4 linked regions of the Arabidopsis thaliana genome follow. The protein of the gene in region 4 interacts with the protein of the main gene of each other region in a pairwise test. Each region holds a gene or a part of one and is shown on either strand. Other genes may lie near its edges. The genes, in order: AT1G47740, HOS10, AT5G45580 and HAM3.

Evidence for each region.
Region 1: the proteins of HAM3 (region 4) and AT1G47740 interact in a two-hybrid assay, tested with the Arabidopsis thaliana proteins (one large-scale study listed by BioGRID).
Region 2: the proteins of HAM3 (region 4) and HOS10 interact in a two-hybrid assay, tested with the Arabidopsis thaliana proteins (one large-scale study listed by BioGRID).
Region 3: the proteins of HAM3 (region 4) and AT5G45580 interact in a two-hybrid assay, tested with the Arabidopsis thaliana proteins (one large-scale study listed by BioGRID).

Annotation. Positions count from the first base shown.
Region 1 is NC_003070.9:17,564,497-17,569,933, forward strand, and holds AT1G47740 (PPPDE putative thiol peptidase family protein), read left to right. Parts: upstream 1-2,014; 5' UTR 2,015-2,291; intron 2,292-2,304; exon of another isoform or gene 2,305-3,382; 5' UTR 3,383-3,406; coding exon 3,407-3,443; intron 3,444-3,540; coding exon 3,541-3,798; intron 3,799-3,918; coding exon 3,919-4,206; intron 4,207-4,282; coding exon 4,283-4,539; 3' UTR 4,540-4,801; downstream 4,802-5,437. Other genes in the region: AT1G47730 (F-box and associated interaction domains-containing protein), read right to left, coding at 1-610; PEX11A (peroxin 11A), read right to left, coding at 4,892-5,437.
Region 2 is NC_003070.9:13,076,125-13,080,881, forward strand, and holds HOS10 (high response to osmotic stress 10), read left to right. Parts: upstream 1-1,765; 5' UTR 1,766-1,801; coding exon 1,802-1,934; intron 1,935-2,013; coding exon 2,014-2,143; intron 2,144-2,291; exon of another isoform or gene 2,292-2,649; coding exon of another isoform or gene 2,650-2,805; intron 2,806-3,180; coding exon of another isoform or gene 3,181-3,257; exon of another isoform or gene 3,258-3,649; intron 3,650-3,765; coding exon 3,766-4,141; downstream 4,142-4,757. Other genes in the region: AT1G35516 (myb-like transcription factor family protein), read left to right, coding at 2,650-2,791, 3,181-3,257. UniProt on the Arabidopsis thaliana protein: Transcription activator.
Region 3 is NC_003076.8:18,480,213-18,484,826, forward strand, and holds AT5G45580 (Homeodomain-like superfamily protein), read right to left. Parts: upstream 2,797-4,614; 5' UTR 2,435-2,796; coding exon 2,293-2,434; intron 1,980-2,292; coding exon 1,903-1,979; exon of another isoform or gene 1,864-1,902; coding exon of another isoform or gene 1,810-1,863; coding exon 1,743-1,809; intron 1,594-1,742; coding exon 1,518-1,593; intron 1,434-1,517; coding exon 1,355-1,433; intron 1,282-1,354; coding exon 880-1,281; 3' UTR 597-879; downstream 1-596. Other genes in the region: AT5G45590 (Ribosomal protein L35), read right to left, coding at 4,431-4,520.
Region 4 is NC_003075.7:56,640-61,578, reverse strand, and holds HAM3 (GRAS family transcription factor), read left to right. Parts: upstream 1-2,083; 5' UTR 2,084-2,473; coding exon 2,474-4,150; 3' UTR 4,151-4,439; downstream 4,440-4,939. UniProt on the Arabidopsis thaliana protein: Probable transcription factor involved in plant development.

The sequences.
Region 1 (5,437 bases), on a different chromosome or scaffold from region 4:
TGGTTTTAACAGTTCTCCATTCTTGATCTGATCCCAATGTTAACACCCGACACTCATAAAAAGCATTACCATACGGCATGCACACTACTTTGTGTTTACCATCAACTGGATCGTACCCTAAAGAGACTTTTATATTCTTCCACCTCTCATCCAGCTTGCGTAAAGGTTTGAACTTTCTCATAGTAGGGTTCCAAATTATAGGGGTTGCTGCTTTTCGAAAGCAGATCAAGCCGTGGACCGACTCGGTTAAAGTGGTGACGCAACAACGTTTTGGATAGGTTGTATGGTAACTATCAATAATCTCAGAAGAAGAATAAGAATAAGACTCGTTCGGATTCTGATTGTGTTGAGGAATCGTGAAAACAAAGAACTTGTCACCTTCTTTGAAAAAGAACATGAGATTCGGCCGAGTTTCAAAGGAGTTGGTGAAATATGGAGCGGTGGTGATTGATGACCAAAGCTTTGAAACACAACGAAACCTCACGACAGACTTCGCAGGCAGCCTTGAGAATATCTCCGAGGTTAGATCGAGAGGTAAGGATGATGATGAAGATTTTCCTCTGCTTCTTTTTCTCTGGATATTTTCGGTCTTCTCTTCTCTTTGCTCCATCTTGGAGAAAACCCTAAGTCGGTACTTCCTTTCCACGATTTATGCTTATATGTCTCAACTTTTTCCTTTTCCACTAAATTGGAAAAGGAAAAAATGCTTATAGGTGTTAAACTTCCATTTCCTAAACATCTAGACCGAGATAAAAAAAAATAGGCTCTATCTGACGTGATGTCAATACTTCTTGGAGGGAAATCGACTGTTTTCCCACTAAATTTAATCGTAAAAGATGTACAAAGAAAGACTTAAAATACCAAGACTCTTAACCAGAGTTGATAACAAAACTATACATAAAGCACTAAACCAACTAAACTAATCTAGTGATATTTAATAATATACAAAATTTATACTGGTGTGAGAAATAAATAGATTTTTTTAATAATATTTGAATTGTAATAGTAATCTACATTTTTTCTTTCATTTAATATAAAGAATTTTTGAACAAAAATTCAAATTTAACACATTCTATTTTGCAATATAATTTAACTATTCATTTCATGATAATAAACTGGATATTAATTTTATACACGTCATTAATGAATAATAACAAAACATTTTAGTTATACACACGCTCTATCTTATTGTGTCTAGTTTTACTTTTGATATTTAATTTTTAAATAATAACCCACACACTTTCAATCTTAAATGTTCTAACTCTTATCTCTAAATATTCTTAAATCACTTTTTTTTTTTAATTTAGGAAAGATAAAAAAAGAGGAATGATTGTCGTAGATTCATTTATCTTAATCTTCATGAGTATCTTATCCACTAACCGCGAGTAAGTTATCTCCTCTATTGATGATGTCCTAAACGATATACCATACAAACCAACTATTTTTGAATTTCATTGATATGCATCTCCGGTTTTTGAATAATATCCATCATAATCAAAATATATGTTTATTGGAAGGTTGCTCATTCTCCTGAAAAGAAAATATTAGTTGTTATTTCAAAAATATCAGTTGTACCATATATACTACTTCAAACAGTTATATCAGATTCATAAATGGAGAGTGAGGAGGTCCTAAAATTATCGTTCTTCCAAATCAAAAATTATTATTTATTAGAGTAAAAAGTTGCGCTAAAGGAATTTCTTATCTTGATTCTTTTACATAAAGTATGCTCTGTTAGAAAAAAAAAGAATTCAAAGACGTCAGAAATCAAAATATTCCCAAAAAATAATGGTTTTAGATCTCTCCAATCAACTAATTGAACCAACATCAAAATTTTAAAATACGCGAATAGTATATCAATGCTGTGTATCAAAATCTCATAATCCAAAATACTCTATCCAAACTCGAAGAGAATACACCCATATAACCATATCAATAGAGAATAATACAAAAACTGATTTAAAAGCGTTTTGTAGCGAAACACAATTTTAACCATCCCAAAAGCCTTTTTGGTACTGTTACCAGAGTAAGAGACGATAAAATACAAACAAAAACAAAACATGCAACCAAAAAAAATAAAAAAGAAGAGACAAAGGGGAGAGAGAGAAAAGAAGAGCGAACAAATTCCTTCTTTTTCCCCTCTTTCTCTCTCTCTCCCACTCTCTCATCTTCTTCTTCTTATGATTTTCAACTTATTACAACAACAACAACAACAAAATAATCTTGCAAAGTTTCAGTCTCAGGTGGTTCACAGTTAATGCTACTTGCAATGATGAATCCATCCCAATTTCGTAAGTTAATCTTCTCTTCTGAAAATTGAATTTGGTGTATCAATTCTTACATTATCTTGAAGATTCATCTCTGAATTTCTCAAATTTATGGGGGTTTTTTGTTTGTCGGAATTGCCGGAGAAATTGGAAAAAACGAGATCTTTGAGTAAAGGGTTTGTTTAATCTTTAGTCTTTATTGCTTTCCTTAAGCTAATTTTGGCAGATCTGGAACATAAACCCTAGAACAAGACCAAATCAGTGTCTCCTTACTCTTAGGGATTTTAGTCTCTGTGATACCTTAAATGTGTTTATAAATTGACTGTGCTTAATGGGTCACATTTGATTTGCAATAAAAGTTTCACAATTCTTCCATTTTCAGTAATGTAAGCTCCAGTTTTCAAGATTTACTATTTTGGGGAACTAGTTAGGTTTGTAGGTTTATTAGATCTTAGAAACACTAATGTAATGCTGTTTGTTTGGTACTCTTTAATATTCACTATTCATCTTAATGTGGAATCAAATTTGCTTTTTTTGGTCAGACTCAATTAGTTGGAATGAGTTGTTGAACCATTGACTTGTCTCCTAAGCTCTTACTTAATCTATCTGTATCATCTTCTCCTGTCTATTTCTCTTTATTTAATACATAACTCGTTCATGATTGCATCTGACATGGTAGCAACTCTTTGTGAACAAGACTTGATTTTATAACACTGTAACATGACCACACTTTTTCCTTTTGATCTCTGTATATTTGGGGAAGTAAGGATTTGGTTTAACAATGATACAAAATCACAGTTTAGATGACTCAGTCTTGTCTTTTATCATTAAGATGGAAAAAATGAGACCAATCTTGTCTTGCTTTATTCTAAGATGCATGCTCTATTATATTTTATGCTTTTGTATATATAACTGATTGAAGCCGGCCAATGGAGATTGGTGCTGACTTTTTAAATGAGCTGTTGTTGTATTTCAGCCAACTAGCATAAGATAAAATAAAATAGGAAAATTTTTCATTTCAGTCTCTTAAGTTCAATGAAAACATAATGTGGCACAGAGGTCTTTGCTTTTGTACCTTTCAGAATCTTTTATTGATTGATGATGTTTACATACAGGATAACCTCTACTGAGGCATCCAAATGTTGAACGGAAAAGAAGAGCCTAAGCAGAAGAAAGGTAAGGTTTTGATTTGACATTTGTGTGATTAATGTACTAATTAGAGATCATAATGTGTTTGCTACTTTTCTTATGTGGCTCGGTTCTTCATCGGCAGGTTGGTCAGAGTCGCTGCTAGAATTTCGGTCAGGGTTTGGGGAAAAGATGAAAGTTGTGTCGAAGAAACGTTGGAAATCTCTTGGTCCTCTTCATCTGAAAAGCAAATCAGTTGCACGGTTTTGCTTCTTTTCGAAGTTGAAGTCAAACAACCATGGTCCAGGCCGTGCACCAGTGTATCTCAATGTTTATGACTTGACTCCTATTAACGGATATATCTATTGGGCAGGCCTTGGTATATTTCACTCTGGTGTAGAAGGTAAGCTTTAGGCGCTCGCTTGTGTTTTCTTGTTCATATGGTTGAAGTATCCAAAGATTTGCATCTCTGGTGTACTTATAGTTACTGCTATAGCTAACTCTGAACATTTGGCGTTTACAGTTCATGGAGTAGAGTATGCTTTTGGTGCCCATGATTATGCAACGAGTGGTGTTTTTGAGGTTGAACCAAGGCAATGCCCGGGCTTCAAGTTCAAGAAATCGATATTCATTGGAACCACGAATTTAAACCCAACACAAGTGAGAGAGTTTATGGAAGACATGGCTTGCAGTTACTACGGGAATATGTATCACTTGATTGTTAAGAACTGCAACCATTTCTGCCAGGACGTTTGCTACAAGCTTACCGGGAAAAAGATCCCAAAATGGGTGAATCGGCTTGCACAAATAGGTAACAAATGTTTGTTGCATTTGAGAATTGTTGAAGAAGTCTTATTTGAAAGACTAATTTACTTTTTTTTCTGCAGGTTCTGTGTGCAGCTGCATACTTCCCGAGTCCCTCAAGATAACAGCGGTCTGCCACGATCCAGACGGGCAAATCCCGGAGGAAGAAAACGAAAAGAGAAGTCTTAGAAGCTCATTCAGCTGTTTATCATCCATCTCCATGAGACAAAAACAGCTTTCAACATCATCATTGTTCCTACAATCACCTCTCAGAGGCTGCTTACCTCCTTGGCAACTCAAACGCTCAAAATCTAACAGCAGCTCCTTGAAAGAAAGGTAGACATTCCAACAAAAACCATTGCGGTCTCTCATTCGTTTCGTTAGCAACACAAACCACGATTTATCCTTCTTCTATCTTTGTAATGGAGTTCGAAAACAGATTTCCCGCGCCATCGCTTTTCATTTGATTTTAACAGGCTTTCATAAGCCATTCTTCATCTTCTTTCTGTTTGTATTGCTTCCAAATTTGAATCTTTTCTCATTTTCAAAATCATGTATTGCATCAACGCTGTTTATATCTAAACTAGCTCTCTTAGTTCAAACCACCGAAGAATCAAAACGAAACCTTTATTCGATAAGCAAATACTATAATTCAATCGAAAAACGAACGATGAACATCATCATCATGATCATCAACAAGAGATCCAGTTCTTATGAGTACTAACAATAGCAGAAAACAAACCTGCAGAAGATATCACATTAGGAGCCGATAACACTCCCTTACCATCACGAATATCAGCAATCGTCATCAAACCATCAGCAAGATCCTGCAAAATAGATAAAACCTTCAATGTCTTCTTCTCCTTAATCATCTTCATCTTCTCATCTTCACCATCACAAGCTAATCCTCTCGAAACCGAGATCTCGATCGTCGAAGCAACACAACTCTCTTCATCATTCAATTTCCTCAAATCCCTAATCTTAATCGAAACACTTCCTACATAACCAACCAATTCAGCCCAAGCACTAATCTTCTGAAGCCATTTCGAATGTTTCGCATCGATCAGTCCTGATTTCGTTAACCATATGAATTGTTCAACGAAATAGTATAATCCTTCACCACCGTACGCGATTATGAGTAAGACGAGCTCGTGATTTGAATCCCATCGTGAGGATCTTAATGCGTTGATGTCTTGTACGAATTTTCCGAGACGGAAGGCTTTGCGACTGACTCCGAC
Region 2 (4,757 bases), on a different chromosome or scaffold from region 4:
GCAATATTTTCAGATTAATGTAAAATTGTGATTTCAGATATATGTATTTAAAATTTAATCATCAATAAATCTTTTAATTTCTACTTATCTTACATAAGTGGTAATCCATTACCAAGTGAAAGACTTAATTTTTATTATGGTTTTATATGTAAAGTAATGTTTAATTATGGTTTTAAAAATAATAAAACTACTTAATAATATAATTTGTAAAAATAATAATTGATATATTTAAAAATATTGTAGAGATATTAAATTTAATATATGAAAAATATAATAATATTTTAATATTAATAAGATACCTATAAGAGTATCTCACCAATGGAAGCACAATTTTAGTATAAGTTTCTCTACTTAAATTAAATATAAAAATATTAATAATATATTATGAGGTATTGATGTAGTATCTCACCAGTGGAGATGCTCTTAGGTTCGCACCTAATTTTAGAGTTTATTCTGATCTCAAGGGGCGCATACGTGGCCATATATTATTGGCTCTGTGTTTGACAAAACAATTTTTTTTCTCGCTTTTGGCCTTGTTTATTTTTTCATTTCACGATTAATTTTCTTTCTCTTCTCTTGTAAACTCCGGAGGCCGATCGTACGATTGGTGATTATCATCATCACGCGTCGTCTCTTAATAAGATAGTTTAGAGATTGTGTTCGTATCGATTCTTAAAACAGTTTTATAAGTTTCGTTTAACTGATGTTTCGGGCTCGTGGAATTAGGTTGTGCTTGCTCGTAACAGCAGGATAATTTACTGATACCGACATTGATCCCATTGCTTGGCTAGCACAGTTATAGGTGTGTTTTGTGTCTGGATATTATTTAGTAGTTAATTTTTAGATTAAACCAATGTTTCAATTTAGATATCACTAAATTTTTGTGTGATAACAAGTGATGTTGATAAAGATATGTGCACCTTCGTTTTTTGTTTCTAATAAATATGTTTGCAAACAGCCTGAGAGACTTTTTCAAAGGAATCGATTAGGTGTCTGTAGTGAAGCTTTGGCTGCAACTAGGCCTAGAGCTGCTTCAAGGGGTCGTGATATGGAGATAGAGCGTGACTTACTAACCAGGTCAATTTTTACTTGAAAGTGCTTTGAACAATTATAGAATCCATTTCATTGAAATTTCCTGATATGCATACTGATGTGATTTGCTAAACTGTTGCAGTCAGTTCTCTATTGTACGAGAGAATACAAGAGAAAAGTTAAACGTAAGTTCAATCTTGATGTTCTGCAGTTTCTGCTTTGCAGGGTATATGTGACAGGGTGGTTGTTAAGCCCCAAAAACTGTGAGGAAGCTTGCAAGAGTGCAACATCTATATTCTCAATTGGCAGGGAAACTCACGAAGGAAGATGATGAGGTTATATAATACTATTGGAATAGTTTTTACATTTCCAAGCTCTTTTTTTTCTTCGAATTAGCTTTAACCCTTTGTCAAATAAATAAATTAGCATATTTTGTCAAGTAAATATTTATCATATTTATTTTTTTAAGAAACCCACTTAAGGATTCACTAATGGACTAGAAAAAAGTTTAGGATTCAACAAGAACTTTAATTTCAAAAAAATTCAAAATTTATTAGTATAAAAATGTAAGGATTCCATTATTAGGACTCCTTAATGGACATGCTCTAAGGAAAGAAAGAAAAAGAAGGTAACCTACCAAATCTTTTTCACCCACAAAATACAAGATACATACACCAACTTGGTCAAAGTCACTTCCTTTTTATAACACCTCTCTTTAGATCCTAGTCTCACTCTTCTTGTCTCATCACCCACACATGTAACCATCATCATGGGAAGATCACCATGTTGTGAAAAGGCTCACATGAACAAAGGAGCATGGACTAAAGAAGAAGATCAACGTCTTATTGATTATATACGTAATCATGGTGAAGGCTCTTGGCGTTCTCTTCCTAAATCCGTTGGTAAATTTCTCCAAAGTTTTGATTTTTTTTCTTTCAAATTTTTATGTTTCTTGATCTGATGATTTTATCTTTTCTTTAGGGTTGTTGCGTTGTGGAAAAAGTTGTAGATTAAGATGGATTAATTACCTTCGTCCTGATCTTAAACGTGGAAATTTCACTGATGGTGAAGAGCAAATCATTGTCAAACTTCATAGTTTATTTGGCAACAAGTAATTTCCTTTCTCTTAATTATGATTTATGAACAAACCAGTTTTACTGTAAAAAAGTAAAACCAATGGTTAAACCGTGAAAGACTAAAAAAAATGAAGAATCGGGTTTTGGTCATTAGTCCGAACCGGTTCACTGGTTTAATCAGATTTTAAACCGGGTGTTGTGAGTCTTTTTAATACCGGTTTTTGGTGATAACTCAAATCGGATAGCTATTCGATTCACAGTCAAACTGGTTCAACCGGTTTGAAAACACTGGAGAAAACTAATCAAATGGTTTTCTCTTCAGTTTATAAAAATGAATAAATGTACAATTTGGTTTATATACAAGCAGATCCAGTATTGAGAAGATAGCATTCTATGCGTTTTGAATGGAAAAGAAGGTTTTGTAGGCTTCTCTCTCTCTTCTCTCATTTGCATCTTTTAGAGAGAGAAAGCATCTGATCTTCTTTTTCCGGCAACAATAGCTTCTTTAGTGTTTGTTGGCCAGTTCTCTGTCCAGAATCTTATGGCTTTTCCAGCATGGATGTCTGGCTTTTGTCCGGCGATGTTTAGGGCAACGTTTGATTGTCGTGGTTCTTCTGACACTGTTCGGTTCTTTACGACGATGGTCGGTTTGCGTTTGGCTTCCATTGGCTTCTTTAGCGGCGGTAGGCTAGCTAAGGTCTAGAGTTTCACCGCCTATCTTCGGTGTTTCGTCTACCTTTTGGCCGGATTGATTCCGGTTTAGATTTATGTTTTCTTCTCTCGATTTCTTTATATTCAGTTTGATTGAGCTCTTTTGCGTTTCATTGTTAGATCTGGCATATAATTCCTTGAACCTCCTTTGTTTAAAGGGATTAATTTGTTTTCCACGCTTATCGATTTCATTTTTTGAGAACAAATTAAGATGCGGATTAAGGTTTTTTATGCTTATGGGTTGAAACTATTGCAATTGTGGCTGTTTCTCTAACTGATCTATGGAGACGAGTGCTTTTTTGTTCTTTTTTAAGGTGTTGCTGAAAGCTCCATCGGCTTACTCTACGTCGATGTTCTTTAGATTTCAGGAATCAATTGCCTTTGGGAGATCTTTCCTTTCCAAATTTGCTAATGAAGTTTGGTGGATTCTCTAATTAAAAATCAATGGACTTCTCTTGAAGCTCCGGCGGTTTCCGGTGGTTTTAGAGTTCCCTGAGTTGCTAACCAGAACGGTGGTGAATGGCGACAACTAAGGCTTCTTCAGTCAACGTGTTTCAACTTTGTTTGTTAACATCACACGTGGCTTTGTGGTGGAAGGGAATCTTTAATTTACTTCCTCTAAAGGTTTTGTTTCCTGGTTTGGGCTTTCTTTATGGGCCTCTGCTTATAAGTTAGACTTGTTGGTTTTTTATGTAATATGGATGACTATATTTTAGTTGATCCAATGTTGTAAGGTTTAATATGTGTCAAGATTTGTAAGTGGAAGGTTCCACAGTTGTATCTTTACAACATAAGGTTTTAAATAAAGTGCAACACTTATGAGAAAAAAATAATAAAAATACAAGCAGATCCAATTTGACAAAACCAAATAAATAACCGGTTTAATATACCCAAATGACCAAGTTTTAAACCAATGTTCCTTACATTTCGAATGTCTTTTTTTCAGATGGTCTTTGATTGCTGGGAAATTACCGGGAAGAACCGATAATGAGATTAAAAATTATTGGAACACTCATATAAAAAGGAAGCTTCTTAACCGTGGTATTGACCCAAAAACTCACGGTTCGATCATCGAGCCTAAAACGACATCGTTTCATCCCCGAAATGAAGATTTGAAGTCCACGTTTCCCGGTTCTGTTAAACTAAAGATGGAGACTTCTTGTGAAAACTGTGCTTCTACGAGCGGTACGACTACGGACGAGGATTTACGGTTAAGTGTTGATTGTGATTACAGATATGATCATCTGGACAAGGAGCTAAACTTGGACCTAACACTCGGGTACAGTCCGACTCGATTTGTCGGGGTCGGATCTTGTTACTAGCTCGTGTGACGTTTGTGTTTGTAAATTGGGATCACATATGAACCTTGTATGAATTGCTAAACGGGTTCTTTTAATGATAATAAATCTCATAACAAGTTATGTCTTTTTGGAGTTGTGTGCACCAAAGATATTATTTAGGGTTTGATTGGTAACATTGCGTTTAATAATATAGTTGAATAATACAAATTTGCAAAATAAAACTCGCAAAATAACAGTGTATACATATATAATGATATTTACATATATATATTTTTACAGTTATTTTGTGAAATAAATTCTGTAGTTTGGACTTATTTACAAGAAAAGCCACATGTATTTACAAGAAAATTACAATCTTTCCATATATATTCAAAAACAAAATCTGTGAATTTTATTCCACAAAATATGCATAAATCCGATTTATAGCAAATATGTATATTAACATTTTCTATAGCAATAAAAATACTAATTTATAATAATTAAAATATTCACACAAAAGTCATATACACATACAAGAAAAAGAACTAAATCTATCATCATTTAAGCCGTTGCTTTATTTAAATAAAAAAACACAAAAACTTGAAATCATATACTTTATATGATAAATTTAAAATCTATATTAGTAGTATAAATTTAA
Region 3 (4,614 bases), on a different chromosome or scaffold from region 4:
CTGTTATAACACAACAGATTTTTGGGTGCAAATAGAAAATCTGTTGCCGCCATAAAGAAAAATCTGTGGTCCGAAAAACAAATCAGTGACAGATTTGGTTTCAACATTCTTACTTTTGAAATTTAAATAAAATCTGTGGAGACTATATGAAACAAATTAGTCACGGTTAAAAAATCTGCGAAAAAAAAAAAATCTGGCGTAACATAACACAGGAAAGTCTGGGGTACAAAACAAGTCTGTTGTAAAAAATCTGTGGTTGACCAACAAATCTGTGATCGATAACAAATCCGTCGCAACAAGAGCCACAGATTTATCAAAAACGACGATGGCATTTTCGTAAATAAATGTGGTTTTATTGCCTTGCTGGAATTAAATAGTAATGGCATTTCTGTAATATTGTTTTTCTCTGCAAAGGAAAACAAGGATAATTTAGGTATAATTATTACTCAAATAACTCATATTTTTAGCATTCCTTTTGGGTCTTTATGTATAAAATATGGGTTACTCTATTAAATTTCCCTTATTTTTAACTGAGAAAATCAATCATGAGAATCAAATCTCATCTTTGTTTGATCCTCATTTTTTAGAAAGAGACAATTAGATGCATAGACATATTTTTGAAAAGAATTAAGAAACAAGCAAATAGGTTTTGAATTTTGCAGAACAAGCGAGAGAAGATGCTACACTTTATTATTCACAAAAATAACTTATTTAGTTAAACCCAATTATTCCGTATTTAGCTGATATCAACTACTTTGGACTTCAAATATGTTCTTGATATTTGACTGAGAAACCATGAAGCCAAATTTGTAACATTCTATAAGAAATGTAAAGAAATAATAAAATAAAATAAAAAATTAAAGAAAGTGTCTCTTTAACCTATTGAAGTCTATCTCCAATCACATTTGGCTTCACTTCAATCCCATATTTCCCACAATTCAAGAGATCATACCCACTTTTGGAGTTCAAATCAAAATGCACAAACCCGGATTCTGGTTTAACACATGCATCTCCGGTTTCTATTTTCTCTTGTTCTCCACATAACCGAAACTCTTGAGAGGAATCACCACCATTAAGGTGTGAGATATCAGTAACCAAACCCGCCTTCTCGTTCTTACGATCACTTCCTACAAGTCCCGAAAGTGCGAGATTGAAATCCGAGAATTGACCCTTGTCTGTTTCCCCTGCATTACCACAAGGTAAGCTCTTCTGTGCTTTCTCTAGTAATGTCAACAAATATTTTCCTTGTGCCTCCATTCTCATCTGCAGTTTTTTCTGCACCTATAACACCGCAAAAACTTCGGTTTAAAACTTTTATTCATTGTTGTGAGAGAAGAAAGAAGAGATTTGTTACCTCGAGTTGTTCTTGAAACCGTTGTTGCGCATCGACCTGATGTCTCATTGCCTCAGCAAAAGGTACATTCCCGCTTTGTCTACGTGTGTTCATTAACATTATGTCAAACTCAAGCTTTACAAATCCATTATGTCGAGAGAAGGCAAATTCATATATAATATACCTTTGATGGTTATCAAATCTTGAATCATTGGAGATTCCTCCTTGAGAACAATTGTCGAAATGCACATATGAACTTCCTGTGAATACAAAAATCAATCAATCTTTGGTTTCTCAAATGTTATCTACATTAATATTCCTTAAATACATCATATGTATATATATATTATACTCTACTATAAGCTGAATTATATATAAATCTTGAATTCTTGATAATAATCATACATACCAGCATTTTCTTTGTTTTGTTCTGTTCTATTTTGTTTTTTGCCTTGTTGTTGACCAAGTCTATACTTCTGCATATAGAAACACATCATAAGAGAGAATATAAACCAACAATTTGTAGACATTATACATTATTATATACTCAAATTTGTATAAATTTGGACCTGTAAATGGCTCTTGAGATGGTACAGTGTTAAACCTTTTAATCCCATCAGCTTCAGAACCGATTTAGGAGTTGCTTCTACAAAACCAAACCAATAACAAATGTCACTAAGCAAACAGATATAATTACATTTGTAACCTATTAAATTTGAAGTTATCAAGCTACATAGAGAAGAATCAATTGAATCACTGGCATTAACTTAACCAACCAAACCGAAGTGAACCGGAATCATAATGTGAAACCGGTTATCTCAATTGAAGAATAAGAAAGAGTAAAAGAGCTATAATGTTGTTACACAGATACATCAACTGTAGATTTAACCGGACTGAACCGGAATTATAAAGTGAAACCGGTTATCACAATTGAAGAAGAGGAGGAAAGAGGAGCTTACTGTCAGCGCCACCGAGCTTAGCGACGGCGTCGACGAAGCGATCATGAAGATCGGCTGTCCATCTGAGCCTAGGTTTGGGATCTCTAGTCATCATAACTCCGCCATTATCGTAACCTAAACCTCCGAGATTCACTCTTTCCATTTAATTTTCCGATCAAACAAAATAATGGCGGGAAACTCAGTCGGAAGAATGAATCAAATAACTTCGAAATTTTCCTCTTCTCAAGGATGTGATCGGAAAGAGGAAGCGTAAACTCAAAAAAAGGAAAAATGGCAATCGAACTACGAAATATTGGTCGGAAAGAAAGTGGAAGAAATTTTGTTAAAGATGGGAATGCGAGTGATTAGGGTAAAGAGATAATCGGCGACGAGAGGACGAGATAAATAGAAAGAAGTGTGATGATTGATGGAGAAAAAGAGATCAGAAAACTTTTTGAGGAAAATCTCAGAGAGAGAGAAAGGGAACTTAAAAAAGTCGTCGCGGTGATGATGATGATGGAGGAGGAGAAGTGGTGACATTATTCGTGACTTAACGTCAACCTTCGGTTAATATAGTATTATTATAATATATGTATAATACAAATTATGGATCCAACACTAAAAGTTTGTTTATATACAAAAACAAATTGTATCCATATCGAAATATTATGATAATAAAAAAGAAAATAGTAATTATTAACGTTTTTTATATCGATTTTGTGAATAGTATGAAAGCAAAACATAGCAAAATTTTATTGTATTATGACTGATTAGTGATTTATTGCATACAAACGCAATTACCAACCGCATATTACTTGCGTTTTTAATTGTGTCTATGAGATGCTAGACCGTGTATATGTCATGTTGTAGAATAAAATATATACATGATTGCGTACTTTTTTTTTTCTTTTTGTAATCAATCAAGAGGTATTTGTATATTCAGAATCGTAACATGGGAGAGAGGAACATGGCCCGCATCATGGATATTTGTTTACTATACCTAGATTATTAATGTCCAAAGAATATATAGTTTCTAGGAATTATCATTTTTATCATTTGAATAATTTATATGTTAGATTTATGTGTTTTTAAATCAGATAACTTATGACTAAAGGTTTTGTCTCATTCTCATACAATCCATGAATCAAAATCTCTCTCCATGTTGTTCCTTTATTTAGGTATCATATAAATTTATCATTCATATGTTGTCGGATAGTCTCAATTTGAGATAGAAGAAGAAAATAAACATAGAAAATGTTTCGACCAAATTACTAAATTAGTAATTTGTTATTACACATTCCACATTACACATAAATCAATTCCGAATAATCAAATAAAATGAAATTCATTTTTTTTTTGATAAAAGATTTGATGAAATTCATTGTTGTATTGTGACCTTTTAAAAATTGTTTTAAAAAAAAAACAAATCGTTGTATTCGGCGACGATCAATACATGATGAGTGATGAGCGGTGTCAAATTCCGACAAGAGCGACATAAAACCTTTTTTTGTATTTTTTTAAAAACAATAACAATAATAATTCAATGGTTTTAAAAAGGAATTTATATGACGAAAACAAAGTGCATGGGGCGAGCATGTCACGTAGACTGCCAGCGTGGAATATTCGCCGTCGGACAAGGAAAATACAATAATCTGAAACTCACATGTTCGACGGTGGGGGTTTAATGGTATTTCAACATAGGACACGTGGACGGCTTTGTTACTCTTTTGTCTTTTACGTTTGTTGAAATTGAGACCCACAAGAAATACACACGTGGAACCAAGGCCGCTTCGTTCGACCGCAATCGTTTTGTCCTAACCAAACATGAGAATGGGTGTATTTTTCAATCCAAAGCTCGGTTTACACCGGTACAATCTGACTAAACCGAAATATCATATAACCGGACCGACTCGGGAAACAAAGTTTCTTCTGGTTTAGCTGGAAAATGTACTTGAGAAAAAATCATAAGCCTAACTTGTTTCTCTTTTCAAAACCGATCAGTCTTAACGCCAATTTCACCATATTTCGAAAACTCAATTTATTCCAATGAAGTTAAACTGAAACATAAAGATTTTTTGAGTACCAGTGAGCAAAATTATCTGGTAAAAACTGGAAGAGACTGGCTTTCATCGTAATCATACTGTTTCATGCTCTATCTCTCAATTGCAGAAATTGAGTTTCTTCATGACTTTCGCATATGCTGGTGGTACTAGTCCAGGTTGTCTCAATCTACGCTTCGATTTCTTTGACTGCATCAATTAACAAAACAAATTCTTTACACTCAACATTTCTCAACCTGACTCAGAAATCTTACACAATGATGAAACCCCGAAGAGGTCCAAC
Region 4 (4,939 bases):
AGCAAAGATGCGTTGCATCACCCATGGAGGGACTTTCTCCGTTAGAAATGCTCTAAGAGACTTCTGTATTTTGGAGTGTCATTCGATCATAGTAATTTTTTTTTTTTTTTTTGTTGTTGTTGTCGAATCATAGTAATGTGTTGTCAATGATCAAATGAGAGTTAGATTATGTTTAAGGAAATGTATATGATTAAAGAAATAAGGAAATTCCTTTACCAACTTTATATTGTGGTAATTGTTAATTACTTCCCGCCGATCTTGGTTTTTTTTTTTTAATCATAATTATTATTACTTTGGCTCTAATGAGATGAAGAAATCTTCTCTATTTTTCTTTATCCTTATCAGTCCCATGTGATCTCCTAATAATAATTGATCAATTTTTGTCTAATCTAACTAATCATCATCCTAAAATCTAATACAAAATGAACGACGCAATCATTTATATATGGTTACATGCATACAAACTCTAACACGTTATCCTTCAATATAAATTATTGTTTGACAAGATTAATATATTTAGCTGACTTGTTTCTTCCTCTAATTATGGCAAAGCACGATTCTGTTCATCATACGAACTATCCGATTGAGTGGGGTTGGGTGTGTTGCTTGTGATGAAGGGTGCCTTGAGACGAGAGAAAAGAACATGTTTTCACCACGTAACTTACTTCACCCTCACGAAGTTAACACACACATATATTTAGTATTCCAATATACCAAATATTATATTAATATATCATGAAACTTGAAAATGTGTTGGTGTATTATGTATGTCAATAAGAAATAATATTAATACAGTTTCGCGATCATTTCAAGATTTATAATAATTTTGTATAAGAAAGAAAAGTGTGAGAAGTAGTTGTTAGCAAATCACATGGGAACATATAAACTAATTAAATCTTAAAAATGAACATTTTAACTTTTTGTTGTTATATAAAGTAAGTTAACTATCAATAATCATCAAATATTTATGGTACTTAACAAGTATTATAATATGGGACTAAAAATTACTATACAAGAAACTGAACTCTGTGTTTTTTTGTGCGGTCATAATTCGCATATAAAAGATAGATTCAGAATCTGATATTGTTTATACTTTTTTTTTTTTCTTTGATATTGTTTATACTAATGAATTGGTTTGCATAGAAAAGTAAATGCTTTTTCATTATCATGAATACATGATAATGAAACTGTCGCCATTCATTGCAAAATTGGTCCGATTTTAATCTGTCTTCATCAATTACCCACCTCTCTTTCTTGTTGTTTTTTCTGATTGCTTTATTCATTTATTTATTATAGGGTTTTCCATTGGTAGATATATTTATATATGTATATATATGGTGATTGGTGACTTCCATTGTCTGCTCAATAAAGGACTACCACTCGTTCTTTCTCAATCTCTCGTGCATTTAACTTGTCACAGAAGAAACATCATTCACAGATCTTCAATCACTTTTTTCCTTCAAACGAAAAGATGTACCAAAGAAAGTATGTTTTTATATACACGTAAATATATATATAACTCCTTCTTTGTTATAAGTAGTACATGAATGTTTCAGATAATGACGATCATTCGTATCTCGTTAAGTTAAAACAAGAAAAACAAAACAGATATTTTTGATGTAACTCCAATATATACATAGTTTTTGTTTCCACTTTGTTTAGATTTATAAATTTAGATTATGTCCGTAGCAAAAAAAAAAAAAAAAAGGAAACACAAATTAATATAAGCACTGCAATATGTGGTTTAGCTCGTACAATGGATTGGGTGATTTGAGTGGTTAATTTGATAAAGATGATCCAAAAGCTTGTCCAAACCCTAAAACAAACTATTGGGGACAAAGATCACACAAAAGGAAATAACGACAGCACCTTTGAGATAAAACAAAACAAAACAATATCCCAAATATAGTTTGCAAGCCACAAAGTTTTAATCATGAAAATAAATTATAAGAAAACAAAAACATTCCCAATATATTATGACATCCTTTTTTTTTTTTGGGCAAGTATTATGACATCTAAATATACAGTACAACATCAAAAATATGGGGAAAATGTTTTTTTTTTTTAATAGTTTCTAGTAATTCAAGAAGACAAATACAATATTTAAAAATATATCATAACATTTAGTATTTTTGTTTACCATCATGTTCATGTCACTGAAAGGAGTTTGCAAGCCACGCGCGTGATGTAAGAGTGGGGTTGTAATAGAAGACATAGTTAAGATTAGAAAGCAAAGATTAACAAAATGTTGTGTAAGAGAAGCTGATGAATTGTTTAATCAGCTAAGTTAATGACAAAGGCAAAATGATAGGAAACGGAAATAAGAGAGAAAAAGAAAGGAGGAAGCCCACTTTGCCACTTTAATATCTTGCACGCATCCAATATACCTCACCACACCACATCACAACAACGAAGAAGAAGAAGAAGAAGAAGAGCTTCAAGAAGACAAATACACTATTTTTTATCGTCTGCAATGCCCTTACCCTTTGAAGAGTTTCAAGGGAAGGGGATTTCTTGTTTCTCTTCTTTCTCGTCTTCCTTCCCCCAACCACCGTCGTCTCCGCTTTTGAGCCACCGCAAAGCAAGAGGCGGCGAAGAAGAAGAGGAAGAAGTTCCCGCGGCGGAGCCTACCTCTGTTCTGGACTCCCTCATAAGCCCAACCTCTTCCTCCACGGTGTCTTCCTCTCACGGCGGAAACAGCGCCGTCGGAGGCGGCGGCGACGCCACCACCGATGAGCAATGCGGAGCCATTGGGTTGGGTGATTGGGAGGAGCAAGTTCCTCATGACCACGAACAGAGCATTCTCGGACTCATCATGGGAGATTCCACAGATCCCTCTCTTGAACTCAACAGCATTCTCCAAACATCTCCCACCTTCCACGACTCTGACTACTCATCACCCGGTTTCGGAGTCGTCGACACCGGCTTCGGTTTAGACCACCACTCTGTTCCGCCGTCACATGTTTCCGGTCTTCTGATCAACCAAAGTCAAACCCACTACACACAGAATCCTGCGGCTATCTTCTACGGCCACCACCACCATACACCTCCGCCGGCAAAGCGGCTCAACCCTGGTCCCGTGGGGATAACAGAGCAGCTGGTTAAGGCAGCAGAGGTCATAGAGAGCGACACGTGTCTAGCTCAGGGGATATTGGCGCGGCTCAATCAACAGCTCTCTTCTCCCGTCGGGAAGCCATTAGAAAGAGCAGCTTTTTACTTCAAAGAAGCTCTCAATAATCTCCTTCACAACGTCTCCCAAACCCTAAACCCTTATTCCCTCATCTTCAAGATCGCTGCTTACAAATCCTTCTCAGAGATCTCTCCCGTTCTTCAGTTCGCCAACTTTACCTCCAACCAAGCCCTCTTAGAGTCCTTCCATGGCTTCCACCGTCTCCACATCATCGACTTCGATATCGGCTACGGTGGCCAATGGGCTTCCCTCATGCAAGAGCTTGTTCTCCGCGACAACGCCGCTCCTCTCTCCCTCAAGATCACCGTTTTCGCTTCTCCGGCGAACCACGACCAGCTCGAACTTGGCTTCACTCAAGACAACCTCAAGCACTTCGCCTCTGAGATCAACATCTCCCTTGACATCCAAGTTTTGAGCTTAGACCTCCTCGGCTCCATCTCGTGGCCTAACTCGTCGGAGAAAGAAGCTGTCGCCGTTAACATCTCCGCCGCGTCCTTCTCGCACCTCCCTTTGGTCCTCCGTTTCGTGAAGCATCTATCTCCGACGATCATCGTCTGCTCCGACAGAGGATGCGAGAGGACGGATCTGCCCTTCTCTCAACAGCTCGCCCACTCGCTGCACTCACACACCGCTCTCTTCGAATCCCTCGACGCCGTCAACGCCAACCTCGACGCAATGCAGAAGATCGAGAGGTTTCTTATACAGCCGGAGATAGAGAAGCTGGTGTTGGATCGTAGCCGTCCGATAGAAAGGCCGATGATGACGTGGCAAGCGATGTTTCTACAGATGGGTTTCTCACCGGTGACGCACAGTAACTTCACGGAGTCTCAAGCCGAGTGTTTAGTCCAACGGACGCCAGTGAGAGGCTTTCACGTCGAGAAGAAACATAACTCACTTCTCCTATGTTGGCAAAGGACAGAACTCGTCGGAGTTTCAGCATGGAGATGTCGCTCCTCCTGATTTCCACCGGAGTTTCAATTATTAAAAAAATATTTTCCTTAATTCAATTTATCTTAAATGACAAATTTTTAGTTTCTGATTTTATTTTGCTCAGTGCGATGGATTTTTAAATTTAAGTTTCACACAAATATATAAATTTTTGTGAGAAGTTAATTAATTGTCTGATTATCAAACACTTATTGTATAACACATTCAATATATATTAATTGTGGGGATTATTTTTGATCGACTAAATAACGTGATAGAATAATGCTTGGATTAGCTCAATACTATATTTTTCTAATTAAAAATGAATGGGGTGTTGATTTTGATGCGAGGCAGAAAGCTACTGCTCATTATTGTGATTATATGATTATATAATGGTTAGAGTTTGTTGTGGTTTGTGTCTTTGCGAGGGGTCTATTTTTAATTTATAAACATATGTCTCCATGATGTCACATGGGTCTTGTATTATTTTATTTATTTGGACCACAATACATTTTTGTGTGCGCCGTTTCTAACCTTTTTTTTTCTCCGACGAAACAAAGGTTTGCTTTTTCTCCTTTAAATGGTCCATACGCATTACATATATAATGCGCCCATTTGCTTTACGCATTAACTGCATTTCTCTATAGAAATATTTCAGAAACAAACCAAGTGTATACAATACATCAACATGTTTTTTTTGGGGTTTTAATGTGAAGATTTCATTTCAATAAAAAGATTACAAGCTAATCTAAGTAATACAAACCAACATATTTTGGTTTACTCTTTATATTAAAACATCATTTAGGATAATTATTTAAAATA